Linked DNA regions of Sus scrofa. The protein of the gene in region 1 interacts with the protein of each later gene in a biochemical or structural test. Links are inferred from orthologs where the notes say so. Each region holds a gene or a part of one and is shown in the gene's direction. Other genes may lie near its edges.

Region 1 (7,834 bases):
TGCAAAGTTTTCTGATGTGAATTGCAGCTCTGTTCCATTCACTTTGCTGGTGAAGGCGCAGCTCTCCTGGCAGTACTTCTGGTGCCAGGTTCAAGCATATGATGAAGCTCCACATAAATCATCACTTTACAACACTGTCTCCATTGTGCTTCTTGATTCTTCGTGGCGAGTTTCCACCAAGCCTTTTCGGGTGACATGATGACTTGGCTGCCAGCCACACGAGAGGTCCCCTAGGAGTTTGGGAGGGCTGAGCTTGCTACAGCAATCCTCTCTGGTTCCCCCAGCAGGTTCACAACTATATGATTCCGCCCCACGACCGAGGATGGAGGGAGTTCGTCCCTGATCAGCCACACCCGGAGATCCCATACCAGTGTCCTGTGACCTTTGGACCCCGCAGCCACCACTGGCAAGGCCCGGCCTGTGAAAATGGTAAGGAGGCCCTGGGGTAGCTGCTGTGGCCAGAGGGCCTGCCCCCACCACCCCGCCCCATCCGTTCTCTGCAGCCCCAGGGCTCGCCCTCTTCCAAGCTGCTGGGAGAGGAGAGGTCCCCAGGCAAGGACACGGAGGACCTGACGCCTGGCCTGCTCTGTGCCCGGCCCTGGGCTCGGTGCGCCTTGTGGCTCTAATTCAGGCAGCACAGGGATCACTCCAGGCCCCCAGAACTGCCCTGTGTTGCATAGGGGAGAGCTCGCAGCATGCAGGCAGCATGCCCACAGTGACCCAGCAAGAGTGACCAGGTCCCCTAACCCCGAGCCCAGCCACACACGACAGGGGACGCTGGATTTCCCAGTGGCTAGCTGTGTACTTTACGTCATCTGCTTAGTAAGTTAACATGCTTCTTCCTCCCTGAATAATCTTAAACTTTATTTTTAATCTTGGGCAAAAAGTAGTCAATTTTGGCAGACTTCCCAGAGAAGATGGGCTCGTCCCTTAATGCTGACTGTTTCTGTCTACACATCTGCGAGCTCGGGATCCTGCAGCTGTGCCCAAGCCCTCCCTCTGTAGGGACACCAGGAGTTTACTGTGCTAGTGTATTTCTCTTAAACAATGTGTGCCCATGTTGCCAAGATCAGAGGCGATGGTGAGAAGGGAGTGAAGAAATACCATAAAGAAAACACGAGAAGTCTCCACAGGGGGCCTGCTTAGTGTTGGAGCTGATTGGGTTACATGTGGTCAACTGGAGGCCTTCCTCAACCCCAGGATGAGAGCTCGCAGCAGAAGCACAAGTTTGCTGAGTGCAGAGACAAGTTCACATGGTATATTCAGTACAGCAAAGCAGAAGTTTTTAGGGCTCTTGAGTCAGTTTTTAAGCGAAATCCTGAGACCAGTCAACACACAGATGCTTTTGTCTGTTCTAGGAATATTTGCTCCTTTTTCTAGTCATGTCCAGGTCACTCTTGGCTTGTGGTATTGAGCAAGCAAACAATTACTTAAGATTTGTGTTGAGTGGCATGTTTGTTAAAAAAGCTCAGAATTGGGTTTTATTAGCTTTTCAACAGTCATGTGCAGTAAAGGTTGGTTTTCCATATTGTGGTGCAGGAATCAGCTAATGTTGCAGGGGTTTCTGGAGTTCAGACCTGTTTCCAGTGCACCAGCTCCATTGAACTCATCACCTCATAAAGAGGCAGTGCCTGGAACTGTGAGAAGATAGACCAGATGGGCACAAGGGGCTTTAGTCATATGCCAGCAAAACGAGGTTCTGTCCCATACTTTCTCTAGTGATGTTTAACGCAACGCACAGCTATCGTGCTGGCATGACTTTTGGTTCAGTTTTCTCCTGAGCCCAGAAGTAGCAGCTAAGTAAACTGGAACCAAACAGTGTGTAAGTTCTTGACTGGGCTCTTTGGTGTCGGATCGGATTGGAGAGAGACCCGGGCTCACAGCGCTGCTGTGAACTTGCTGTGTGGATGGGGCAAATCACCCCATTTCTCTGAGCCTCCGTTACCCTGTTATCAGTTACGCAGGAATGTTCGTCCCAGGGGACAAACTTCCAATTATGAGACGAATGCATCCTGGGGTGCGACAGACACAGCCTGGAGACCGCAGATAACGACGGTCTGTCATGTTCAAAGTGCAGGTAGAGTAGATTTTAGGTGTTCTCTGATTTTAAAGGTACCTTTCGCACAGGTAATCGTGGGAGGGGATGGAGGTGCTAACAAAAAAGGAAGAAGGCAGGAAAGCAAGCAGGAAGAAGGCAGGTCGGAAGAAGGCAGGAAGGAAATTACAGACGGAGACTCTAAGTTTCCTTCCGGCTGGGAAAAGGCTTCTTCCTCCTTGGATCTCGGGCTGCCCCTCCCGTCGGTGCATCCGGGGCTGACCGGCCCCACCTCAGGGAGAGGCCACCCCCCTCTGCGTTGGACTCTGTTTAGATGGCGTCTGATTTTTGTTTGCAAACGCAGGTTGCCAGGTGACAGGAACCTTTTATGCTTGTGCCCCGCCTGAGTCCCAGGCCCCCGGAATCCCCATAGAGCCAAGCATAAGGTCTGCCGAAGCCTTGGCCCTCTCAGGTGAGTGGGGCTCCCAGGAGGCGGCGTCCAGAGGCTCCCCTCACCTCGGGTAGATTCCAGGGGGTGGCTGAGCACAGCTGGGGCCTGGGGCGGGTGGGAACCTCTGACTCCTGACTATGTGAGTGAGGTTAGAAAAGTTAGCCACCAGAGGCCGGCTCCTGATCCTGATCCGCTTCTCCAGGCTGTCTGAAATGAGTCTTTTAAAGCTCCCCATTGACGCCTAACTTTCCAGGAATGTGCAGACACCCCGGATTCATTTGCTGGGTCCCCTCTTCAGCCAGAACCCCCACAGCTTAGTGCAGTTTCTCAGGACCAAGCACAGGAGTGCCTCGTTTTGAAACGCTCCGCACGCTTCCAGGTTTAGCTGCAAACAGGTGGCCCCTCAGCTTCCCGGGCACCCAGTTCTGGGTCCTCTCTCTCATCACGTTCGAAGGCCAAGGGACAAGCACCCTGTCTTCCTCTGAACGTGAAATGTCTTGCAAACAAAGGTGGATTAGATGTGGCTTTTAAAGTCTCATCTCTGAAAGAACCCCTGCATCTTAGCAACCCCCGCCCGGTGTAAGGAAGGCAGCTCAGGCTTTACTGAGCATATGTGATGTATGTACATTTATTGTTTTTAGATAATGTTTTGATTGTTTTAAAATGGGGTTTGTACTTGTATTAAAAATGAACAGCTTAAGCTTCAGAATTCTCACCTCACACACTGGTCTCTTTGAAAATCAGTGACAGAAACTATAAAGTGAATTCTCAGGGTTTCAGGAAACAAGGGTTTGGCTCTGAGGCTCTGCAAGGGTGCTGCCTTTCTTCTCAGGGGCTCCTGGGTGATGGAGGCTGGGAAGGGCTCTAAGCAGAAAGGCCCGTGTTTGTTTTTAGAAACTTTCAATCCTTTTCTTGAGCACCTCACACTTGTGTGGGTGCCTGAAGAGTAGGAAATAAACGGCTATTTATATCCCATGACCGCGTGATTTCTGATGACGCTCAATGAAATGAACCTCAAATGGCCAACACCCACTCCTCGGGGCTCACGGCAGCCGGCGTTGCAGAAGAGGCTGGAGGCAGCGATGTGGGTCGAGTCTCAAGACCTGTGTTGAGGAATAAGAGGCTTCTGTGGCTTTCTCTGAGTGCACGGGACAGATTAATTACTTGCCCGTTTATCAGAGGCCTGCCATCCGCTCAAGTTTGAACTCCACGCGGTTAGGATGGAGCTGCTGCCTCTCGGGAAGCCCTTTGGGGTTCAGGTCAGGGGCCCTTGGCAACCTTGGCTTGGTCCTTTTAGTCTGTGAATCCGATTTTAAAGAAGGCTCTGAAATCAGCAAACTTCCAAAAAGAATCCATCCTGTTTGGTGTTTGAGAAAGCCCCATTGCAGGGCCTTTCTCCGACTCCGACGCAAAGCCAAGCGGGTCTCAGCAGACCTTAGGTTCAGAACGTTTGCCTCACGAGGTAATCTTAGTACATAAGCTGCACATGTGCAGCGGAGAAAGAATTTAAAGATCAGAAAAGCAAAAATGGAGAATAAAAAGCCACAGTCCCACCACCCAGAGATCAACCACCGTCAAGACTTACCCTTCCGCACACTTAAATGTGTACCGGCATATGTATAATGGTTTTTTAGCTAAATGGCATCATATTGATATTTTAGGGTAGTTTCAGGTGTGTGGACATAGTTTTGTTTTTTTCTGAAACACCACTGTACGCTTTTGCAAGTAGAAATCATTTAAACATAGCTTCTTCCAAAACCAAAATTGTTTGCTGTGCTTGAAGTGCATTTCTGTTCAGTGGCTTGTGAATCGGTGTGTTAAGACACTAAGCGTGGGCCACCCCCGTGCTCCCCACCCCGCCCCCCAACCGTGTCCGGTACATCCGGACAATGCCAGTAGGGAACATTGCCCAGACTTGTGCACGGCTTCTCCAGCATCGGGTGAGTTTCCAGGAGGGACGAGAGGCCTTGCAGTGTCTTCCGAGGGTCCTGCCAAGTATGCTTTATTCCGGTCGGGAGTGTGGCATCCTAGCAGGTGTGCAGTGCCCCATGGCTCCTTAGCACTGACCCCAAAAGCTCTGTGTTTGCAGACTGCCGGCTCCACATCTGCCTGTACTACCGGGAAATCCTGGTGAAAGAGCTGACCACGTCCAGCCCCGAAGGCTGCCGGATCTCCCATGGCCACACCTACGATGCCAGCAGCCTGGACCAGGTCGTTTTTCCCTACCCAGAGGACAGCGGCCAGAGGAAGAACATTGAGAAGCTGCTGAGCCATCTGGAAAGGGGCGTGGTCCTCTGGATGGCCCCCGATGGGCTTTATGCCAAGAGACTTTGCCAGAGCAGGATCTACTGGGACGGGCCCCTGGCGCTGTGCAGTGACCGGCCCAACAAGCTGGAGAGAGAGCAGACCTGCAAGCTGTTTGACACACAGCAGTTCTTATCAGGTAAGGCAGCCAGCTTCTGTCAGAATGGCGGGAGTGGAGCTGCGGATGGCGCTCCGGCCACGGGGTCAGAAGCAGCAGGCCAGTTGCTCCTGGTCTTCCTTCTGTGTAACCTGGAGCCCCCAGGCATGATCCTGGAATGGGTTTCCTGTCTGCTCACCTGTCACCCCATCACAGAGGAGTAGGAAGAGGAGGGGTAGTGAGGGGGCTGAGGTTCAGGCCGAGGTCTTGAAATTCTGGTGTTGACCCACTGCTCACCAACTAATCAGGTTCACGTTTTTATTGCCTCTGTGATTTGCTGATGTTTCAGCGCTTTTAAGGTTCCTAGACAAATCGTAAGGTTGGCAGTGCATTGTTGGCACTCTTGGTTATGAGATGTGTCATTCTCAGGTAGAGGCCTTTCAGCAGGTGGGACCGGGGTGAGTGCAGTGAACTGATTTTGCAGAGGGGAAATCGTGAGACGGTGCTGAGTTGTCTCTAGGTTTCAAATCACATTTTCCGGGACCCGTCGGTTTTGTTTCCCCAGTTCTGATTTCATGGCAGTTCGACTAGCTCTGGGCCACTCTCTTGAGACCCCTGCCCCCTTTTTGTGGAGGCCTCACCAAGCGTCCCTGAGCCGTCGGTGTTCACGAGGCTTTCTGGAGGGAGGCGGTTCTGCCTGCCCACTGGCACCCCTCCCTGACGATCTTATCCGCAGCCCCGCTTCGGAAGCACCCTTTGGGCTCTCGGTGCCTCTCCAGTCCCTGAAGTGCTTTGTGCCCTGCTTTGTGTAAACCAAACACGGCACCCCTGCTGCACCGCCAGAGACACAGGCTCAGCCTTGGGGTTTGGGGGTTCAGTGTCTGGACTCTCTGCGCTCACCTGGATTCTCTTTTGCCGCCCAAGCAAACACATCCCCCGACCATGAACCCCCCCACAGAGGCCAGACGAGGCGGGGATGCCGAGTCTCTGGTCCCCCCTCCTTGGTCTGAAGCCTCCCCCACCCAGAGTGGCAGCACTGCCTCCATGTGGGTTTTCCGTTGGTCCTGGGGTCCAGGGGTCCAGCGTGTGGATGCAGTGAGGCCTGCGAAGGAGCCGAGAGCCGCAGCTCTGGTGTCTGGGGTCCCACAGAACCCTGGGGGGGGTCTCCTCCGAGGTTGCGGACCTTGGGGTGGGAAGATGCCGCGGGACAGGGATGTTCACTACGGTTCCCACAAGGGCAGCCTTGCCCTCCGGGTTCTGTCCCCGGCCTGCCTTGGGGATTGACCCTCATCCGACCTCGGCGGCCCCTGCAAGACGGGCAAGAGGCCTCCGGCCATGCGCTCACTCCCTAGGTGTCTGCGCCCAGGGCTTTCGGGCTTTTCCCTTCCTCTGACCCCGGGCTGTGCCCTTACTTCAGGGCAGCCTCTTATCTAAAGCATGTGCTGAGGTTCAAGGAGGAACCCAGGAACCCAAGTGCAGACCAGCAGGCATCTTGGCGCGAGTTTCAGGGAACCGCGCCAGCCTGCCGCTGGGAGCAGCCTCCCACCTCATGGTGTGGGGGCCTTGCACATGTTCTGACGAAGTTAGGTTAGATTTGAATTCTGGAAGAAAAAAGAAGCAGGAAGTCAAATGGTCCAGTGAGTTAGCTAGAAACTTCACTTCAGTTGAAGAGAACAGTGGAAATCTTTGATATCTACCCCTTCAGGGCCTGCAGAGTCCTGGGGACAGCCCCGCACGCAGCCCGAGGCAGCCGCAGCTCTGCAGACGTGGCAGCAGCTGTGTGAGCGCCTTTCTTCTGAGGACGTGACGTTTGACTCTAGAAGAAGCGGCTGGAGGCCCCCTCCAGCCTGAGTGTGTCGAGAGGGCAGGGGCCCGCTGGGTGAACGCGGGGATCCCCCAGCACATCTTGGGGTGGCAGAGGTGGCTTCAGGCACATGTCCACCAAAGTGGGGCCCAGGGTTTCATCGCCACCTCTCACCTCCAGTGCCAGAAGGCACACCGTCTGGGATGCAGCTCGGTCTCCAAGACAACATGAGGCACTTTCTGTGGTGCCTGAGTCACGTGGAGATCCCGGGGAGCCCAGATACTGGGTTAGAAGGCTCAGCAGTTTTGAGAAGAGATTTTTAAGTAAACCTGGGTCCAATCAGAAAATTCTGTTTTTTTTTAAAAAAAGATGTCTCTTGGGTGTAAATTATTCTTTTGGCTCAACGTGGCTGCGTTTCGCTCTCTTCCTCTTTGACCCCTTGCTGCCACCTTTGCTTCTTCATGGGTCCAGGGCTGCAAAGCCAGGCTCTCCGTCTCAGGGTGAATTTCCCTGAGGGGAAGGCTGCAGCCCTCGGGAGAGACGCTGTGAACACGGGTGTGTGCCCTTCCCTGGAGGCCCACCTCACCCCCGGTCTAGTCCCGCATCCTCGCAGGCGCCCTGCTCTAGCCCGCGTCCAGGGCAAGGGTTTCTGAGCGGCTCCTCTCACGGTCTCTGCAGAGCTCCAGGCATTTGCTCACCACGGCCGGCCCCTGCCAAGGTTCCAGGTGACTCTGTGCTTCGGGGAAGAGTTTCCGGACCCCCAGAGGCAACGGAAGCTCATCACTGCTCACGTGAGTGTCTTCTTGCCTCCAGTGGTTGAGGCTTCCTGACTGTCCTCGAGGGCAAGGCCCCATTCAGAGAAGTTTAGACGAGAATTAAGTGTCCGGGCACTGGGGTGCAGAGGGACACAGGGAGGGAGGGTGTGCAGTGAGGGGTGCACAGGCACAGCCCAGAGACCGAATGCCTCCAGCCCCCAGTGTCCACTTATTAAGCAGAGGGTGACCTCCAGCCATGGGCTGCTTCTGTCCCATCTTTTTTATTTTTCAAGGAAATCATCATTTCCTCATTGTATAGGGGTTTAAAAGGATGATGCTAAATGTTACCCTTTAAAATTTTTCACATTTAATATTGCTCTTTAAACGC
Region 2 (7,127 bases), on another chromosome or scaffold:
GTCTCCGGAGCTACTGGTCAGATCGGTGAGTCCCTGCCCCGGGCGGCCTGAGCAACTGTACCTCCTGTTGCATACCCTGTACCTCCACCCATACCCTCTCCGTCTTCTTGGCCAGGTTGATCATTGGCTTCATCAGCAAACAGTATGTCACTAGCCTTCTCCTCAATGAACCTGATGGAACCTTCCTCCTTCGCTTCAGTGACTCAGAGATTGGGGGCATCACCATTGCCCACGTTATCAGAGGCCAGGATGGTGAGGTCACCCCAGCCAATCTGCTGCCTCTATCCCTAGGCCCTCTGGGATTTCTTCTGGGAAGGAAATGTCTTGGCCTTCCTTGTTGCCAACCCTGATCTTCGGGAAGATCTTTCTTAGGTCCAACTTCTCTTCTGCCTTCTGTGGGCTAAACTTCTGCCTGCTCACTGTGAGCTCTGTGGCAATGGAGACTGGTGGGTCTCCCTTGCTCAGGACCCTCACCGTAGCTCCTCTCCTCTTTATCTTGGTGGAATGAGGATAAGTCCAAGGGTGTGGTGGGGTTGGCAGGGTAAGAGGAAGAAAGTCTGGACAGAGGGGACTCAGGGCCTCATTTCTGTTGTAGGATCCCCACAGATAGAGAACATCCAGCCGTTCTCTGCCAAAGACCTGTCCATTCGCTCACTGGGGGACCGAATCCGGGACCTTGCTCAGCTCAAAAACCTCTACCCCAAGAAACCCAAGGATGAGGCTTTCCGGAGCCACTACAAACGTGAGCTGGGCCCGAAGTTCTGATTCCTTCCTGTTGTCCACCTCCTTCCTGCTCCCAGCTGCCCCCTCCCTGCCCACTGTGTGTCATTCCTGTCTTCTCTCTCCATCCTCGTCACCCTGTGTCTCCTACCTGCCTCTCAGCCATGCCCACCTTTTCCACCTCCCTAACCCGGAAGCACTCCAAGGCTCTCCTTTCCTCCCCACAACAGCTGAGCAGATGGGTAAGGATGGCAGGGGATATGTCCCAGCTACGATCAAGATGACTGTGGAAAGGTGAGTGTGTTGATGTGGGTGGAGGGTTGGGGGGGCCTGGGACTTACTGGTAGGAAGGGGTGGTGGCATCGACCCCTGGTCAGTCACCCACGTCTTCTCCCCTCCTCCAGGGACCAGCCTCTTCCCACCCCAGAACCCCAAATGCCCACCATGGTGCCCACTTATGATCTTGGAATGGCCCCTGACACCTCCATGAACATGCAGCTCAGCCCAGATATGGTGTAAGAAGCTTGAGCGATGGAAACAGGAGGGATCCGTGCAGGCGGGCCCTTGGCATGGGCAGCCAGAGAGCTGGCAAAGGGGGGGCTGAAGTGGGGCATTTTCCTTTTCTTGAAAGGAATTCCCCATCTTGAGGCAGGGGTGGGGGTGTCCAGGAGAAGGGCTGGCATCAGGGGTCTGCTTTCTTTTCCCCAGGTCCCAGATGTATCCACCACACTCTCACTCCATCCCCTCATATCCAGCCATCCCCCGGGAAGAATCGGTCAGTGTGTTGTCAGCCTTCCAGGAGTAAGTGGGGGCACCTCTGGGGGATGGGGTGGGACACCCCCCTGCATTGGGGGTGGGCAATTGCGTTTGTTGGGAGAGGCTTTTCTGTGAGAAAGGGGTGGCAAACCCCTAGCACTTTGGTCTCTTCTGTCCACTCCACTGGGGTGTTAGTGGTTAAGATCCAGGTTGGAATTCTGACTTTGGGCAAGTTACTTAACTCTGGAGCCTCATTTGTAGAATGGGGAAAAATGCTGATACCTTCCTCAGAGGATTATTGTGAAGGGTGAGTTAATAATATGTGTAAAGCTATGCATAGTACCTGGCTCCTAGCAAGAGCCATTTAAGTACTAATATTATCTGATCTGCCCTTGAAATTGACTGTCATGTATCTGCTGTCTTGATTTTTATTTATTCCTCTTTTTGGCCCTGTAGTGGTGTAGATATTTTTGTTCTCCAGGTAGCACTCACATTCTTAGTAACTCTCAGTCAAGGCAGGACATCTCCTCTCCCAGGAGTTGCAGTGGGGGTGGGGACTGGGGGGACTTAGAACCACCAGAGTTCAGAGTTTGGAAATCAGCTAATCTAGGGAGTTCCCGTTGTGGCTCAGTGGTAATGAACCTGACTAGTATCCATGAGGATGCGGGTTTGATTCCTGGCCTCTATTCAGTGGGTTAAGGATCCGGCATTGCCAATGACTGGTCATTGCATACGTGCCTTGAATCCTGTGTGGCTGTGACTGTGGTGTAGGCTGGCAGCTGCAGCTCTGATTCAGTCCCTAGCCTGGGAACTTCCATATGCCAGGGTACGGCCCTAAAAAAAAAAAAGGAAAAAATTAGCCTAGCTAATCTAGCTCTCCTCTCCCCCTGCCCCCAGTCCCTACATTTACTTATACAAGTGAGAAGACCAAGCGCACAGGTAGAAATGGCTTACCCAAAGCTATGCCGTCAGGATAAGGAGCAGGAAATTCTGTTCCTCACTCAGTGGTCTTGACTTTGCAACACCCTGCTCTTGCCCACCTCTTCCTTTCTCTGACTGTGCCCTCCTTCCTGCTTCCAGACCTCACCTGCAGATGCCCCCTAACCTGAGCCAGATGGGCCTGCCCTTTGACCAACCTCACCCACAGTGAGTGACAAACCACCCCTCCCCCATTCTGATCTCAAGCTCCCCATTGATTCCCAGCCTCGAAGCCACCCCCCCCACCTCATTTACTTTTCTGGGCCTGGGCAGGGGCCTACTGCCATGCCAGCCTCAGGAGCATGCTGTGTCCAGCCCTGAGCCCCTGCTCTGCCCAGATGTGACCATGGCAGAAGAGAGTTGCCTGAGCCAGCCAGTGGGAGGGTTCCCTCAAGGCACCTGGTGAGTATTGGCCTCGGGGTGGAGGCTGGGTGGGGGCTGAGGAATGGGTGCCATGCCTATCCCACTGCTTCTCCCTTTCTCCCTGCAGGGTTGGTGAAGACATGTTCCCACCCTTGCTGCCTCCCACTGAACAGGACCTCACTAAGCTTCTCTTGGAGGGGCAAGGGGAGTCAGGGGGAGGGTCCCTGGGAGCCCAGCCCCTCCTGCAGCCCTCCCTCTATGGGCAGTCTGGGATCTCCATGTCCCATCTGGACCTAAGGGCTAACCCCAGTTGGTGATCCCAGCTGGAAGGGGAACCCAGAGAGACAGCTCTCCTGCCCCCTCGGACCTGCTCTGGACACTTGCCCATGCTCCTGCCAAGCAGCGGATGGGGCGGGTGTCCTCTTGTCCCCACCTACATCCTGGCCAAGAGCAAAGGACTTTGCCAGGAGAACGCACAGTGGGTGGAACCTCTCAGCTCCTTCCCTCCCACCACACACCCTTGCCCTCCCCCTTCCAAATGCTGGAAGGGTAATTCAGGTTCCAAGTGAGACCAGCCCCAGCATGCCTGTACACGCGGAAAACACACATACGGCCCTCCCTGGAGGATGGGGCTGAGCAGGAAGAGGGCTGGGCAGGAGCACAGATGAGGGCACAGAGGGCTTCTCCACCTGCCTGGAGCCAGGGCTCAGGACTCACACATGTAGAAACATGTGGACATGTGCACACATCTGCACCAGATGCCAGGGGTGGAGGTATAGGCTTGGGTCCCAGCCCCCGGGGAGATGGGGAAGCAGTTCAGGAGACACTGGGTAGGAGGAGGGAGGGTCTGTACATTTGGTTACTGATATGGGTTTTGCCTGGATTAAAAGATGAATCCTGAACAGCTCCAAATTTGTCAGTCAGATGGAGGCTTCTGGACATGTGCATGAGATTATGCAGAAGTACAAAGGCTGAGTTTGTGTGTATAGCTGTGCAAAAGTATGTGTACTTGAGACATGTTACTATATAGATGTCACACACGTTAGCTGTACAGCCACATAGAACATGTACCTCTCTGATTTTGCCTGTGTGACAACACACGTTTGAAAGTGTGAGACACTGCACAAAAGATACCAGCAAGCATGCTGGCCTCTCTGGTGTATGCGAACCCAAATGCACTCACTCATCTTTGAGAACTGTGCCCAGAGGGGTCTTCGTGGCTGTGACATCTGCATATGGCTGTAGTTTTGGTGGCTCATCACCACCAGTCCTGCCCAGAGGCAGGGGGTAGAGAGTCTGGGGTCCAGACTCAAGTGTGTGGTCCTTTGGGTGTATCGGGGGCCCTACCCACTGCTTCTTTTCTATTTCCCCAGCCACCGCCAGCTTCCCTCCACTCCCCTGCCCCATGCCACCCTTTCTCCATCTTGGGGGTCATAGATCCTAAGCCATAAAATAAATTTTATTCCAAAATAACAAAATAAATAATCTACTGTACACGATCTGAAAAGAAAGATGCTCTAACTGCTCAGACAGGTGCTGCGGCCCAGCCCCCAGCTAAGGGAGACCCTGAGTCCACCCAAGCCTCCTGAGGGGGCTGGTGAAGGGGACCCCATGCCCCCCTAGAGAGGGCAGGAGGGAGAGAACCGCTGAGGACTTGGGAGAAGGATGGGGATGGGTAGGCAAACTGCAGCACTTGTTAAATTAAAGAAACAAACTAGAAGCACAAAAATGGGGGAATGGAGGGAGGATCAGGTCCAGTGTTCCCAGGCCCCCAGTTCTGGGGGGGAAATGTTTCCACTTTTAGTTGCTGGACCCTCCCAGGATAGTCCCCCTTTCCCCCATGTCCAAACCGAGTCCAACTGCTCACACCACTGGTTCAAACTAGAGAATGGGAGTGTGCTGTGTAAGGAAGGGGAGAACCCCAAGTGCCCTGGAGGCAGAGTCCTTGCCCCTTGCTCTGGGCAACGGTGAGGGGGGCACCACGCACCCTCCTTGTGTCCTCTCGCCAGGCCCCTGCTCGTTATTGCTTGAAGCCCCATAGTTCTATGCCCATGGGGCCGGTGGGGAGGCAGGAGAAGGGCAGCGGAAGGATCCAGGGCTGTGACTAGGTGCCAGGGACGCGGAGTCGAGGGGTTGTGTGACCCGGGAGCCCAGGCCCCGCGGTCTGAGGACAGCAGTCCCGCCCTCACTGCCGGCTGGCCTCAGCCTCCACTTTGACGCTGCTCCTCCGACCTTCCACCAGAGCGGGATGGGGTCCCGGCGCAGGGCATCGGTCTACCAGCCCCTCCTCGAACTCTGCGGGGAGAAGGGGTCAGTTAGGAGGCTGCGAGGTGAACGCTGTAGACAGAGGTGGTTGAGAACAAAGGCAGGTGTAGAGAAGGCTGTAAAGTTGAGCTCGGATTTACAGCCCTCAGCCCACCTCGCGCGCGCGCGGGTGAGTGCATGTATGTGGGGGGGGGGGTTTCTATAGCCAAGTGTGTGCACCCCTTCCCCTTCTTAGCAGTGTGTAGCTCTCGGTCTTTGTAAGTGTCTCTCTCTTTCTCGGTCTCTCCCGCCTCCGTTCTGCTGGAATTTCTGGTTCTGTCAGGAGCTGCGGGGGCGGGTTGGCTGTGACCTCTCCCCCTCCCCCCTTCCCAGGCTCTGCCGCCCCCACTCATCCCTGGCCTCCTCCCAGGCCCTGCCTACCCTACCATGCACGCCCCCCCCCCCCAGTTTCTTAGAAGCCAAATCAAGGGGATCACAGGAAGCCAACCTCCCAGCTCCTCCCCCAAGAAGAGCCCCTCTTTCAGTCCCCGCCCCCACTTCCCACCCACACACAGTTTAAAAATACCAAGCCAGGGTTGGTGGCTTTGTCTGCTGCGTCACTCTCAGCCCAGCCGCTGCCCGGCCCTCTGCTGGCCTACTCCCTCACTCCCCCTTCCCCCATCCACGCACCAAGCATACCCCTTTGGGCTCGTCCAATTCTAAGCTGGCAACCTCACCCCTACTCCTAGAATGCTCCACCCTCCTGTGTTGGTAAAAGTTCTATCCAAGCTTCTCTTCTTGATGACCCTCCTTTTCCTGCTCCCCAGTTCCCCCTTCAGAGATGCCCATTAGGGTCAGACCCTCCCTATTGGGAACAGCCCTCCAAGGGCTCCCCTCTCCTCAACCCAAGGCCTGGTTGGCTGGAGCTCCACCATCCTTATTGCCCTCTCTGGTGACTACATCCCTCTTCCTCCCACCTGGCCCCAGGACACCAGGATTGCTGTGTGTGTTGGGGGAGAGCCTGGGTGGCAGGGGTGGTTGGGGACAGCACTGCTGGCTGCCTCACCTGCGAGAGGCGGCTTCGCAGGCACACAGGGGCTGAGGCGGCCCACGCGGTCATGGGAGACGAGGCGGGCTAGCCGCAGCCCCTCATCCATCAGTGTCTGCTGCAGGATGTGGCGGCTCCACAGCCCATGGGCTGGCAATGCCAGAGGCAGGTCAGCAGGGGGCGGCGTCAGCCTTGGGCATGACCCCACAGCTGTGGGCATGGGCACGGGTCAGGTAAGGGACCACAGTCCACGGAACCCCCACCCTCAACTGCAAAGCCAGACCCATAGGCCCAGGCCCATTTGCCCCCATCCCGCCAGGCCTCCCAACCATGTTCCAGGGAGTTGCCTCCTGGCGCCCTCCTCCCAAGCTTTCTACCCCTGCGCTCCCCCCTCCCCAGTGGCCAGAGAAGTGTTCCGAGGCACACTCACCCTGCAAGTGTCCATCCAGGCTCTCCCCGGACAGGCTGGCACTGTCTTCCTCCAGGCTGGGGCGGTATGGGGGTGCATAGGACTCAGGGCCTGAGGGAGGCTGCTGGATTTCAGAGTGACTTTGCTCACCAACCTGTAGAGGCCCCAAATGGGGAAATGAAAACCTGGCAAGGGAGGGGACCAGGGAAGGCTGCCCTAACCCCCTATATGCACCCTGGAAAACCTACCTCTTGTTTCAGTTTCTTCAGTGGGGGGCCTCCCAATTCTTCGGGGTGAAGCCTTCAAAGATGGAGAGGAACAAGGAGAGTGAGGCTGGGGAAGGACAAGTGGTGGACAAGACACAGAATCTGGGGGGGGAAGAACACGCATTATTTCCAGAGTATGAAAAGATGCTGGCTAAGCAAGTCTCCAGCTCAGGCACCATTGTTGGGGGGGGGGGGGCAGTGGGGGGGCACAGTGGAGGCCTGCAATGGATGGGAGAAGGGGCCAGACCTCAGATAAGTGGACTTGGCCAAAGTCAAGGACACACAGATGGGGGAGAAGCAGTCCAAGAGGCACCTGAAGTAGAGATTAAGACATGACCCAGCT

The links.
Region 2: the proteins of IRF4 (region 1) and STAT6 form a complex in vitro, tested with the Homo sapiens proteins (2 studies listed by BioGRID). The link is inferred for Sus scrofa from reciprocal best matches to the Homo sapiens genes IRF4 and STAT6.

Annotation. Positions count from the first base shown.
Region 1 is NC_010449.5:137,243-145,076, forward strand, and holds part of IRF4 (interferon regulatory factor 4), read left to right. Parts: intron 1-284; coding exon 285-429; intron 430-2,399; coding exon 2,400-2,507; intron 2,508-4,575; coding exon 4,576-4,929; intron 4,930-7,369; coding exon 7,370-7,482; intron 7,483-7,834. UniProt on the Homo sapiens protein: Transcriptional activator. Binds to the interferon-stimulated response element (ISRE) of the MHC class I promoter. Binds the immunoglobulin lambda light chain enhancer, together with PU.1.
Region 2 is NC_010447.5:22,403,553-22,410,679, reverse strand, and holds the end of STAT6 (signal transducer and activator of transcription 6), read left to right. Parts: coding exon 1-25; intron 26-115; coding exon 116-252; intron 253-595; coding exon 596-742; intron 743-950; coding exon 951-1,014; intron 1,015-1,124; coding exon 1,125-1,235; intron 1,236-1,428; coding exon 1,429-1,521; intron 1,522-2,556; coding exon 2,557-2,622; intron 2,623-2,727; coding exon 2,728-2,856; intron 2,857-2,944; coding exon 2,945-3,134; 3' UTR 3,135-4,316; downstream 4,317-7,127. Other genes in the region: NAB2 (NGFI-A-binding protein 2), read right to left, coding at 5,003-5,112, 6,128-6,319, 6,540-6,672, 6,767-6,818. UniProt on the Homo sapiens protein: Carries out a dual function: signal transduction and activation of transcription. Involved in IL4/interleukin-4- and IL3/interleukin-3-mediated signaling.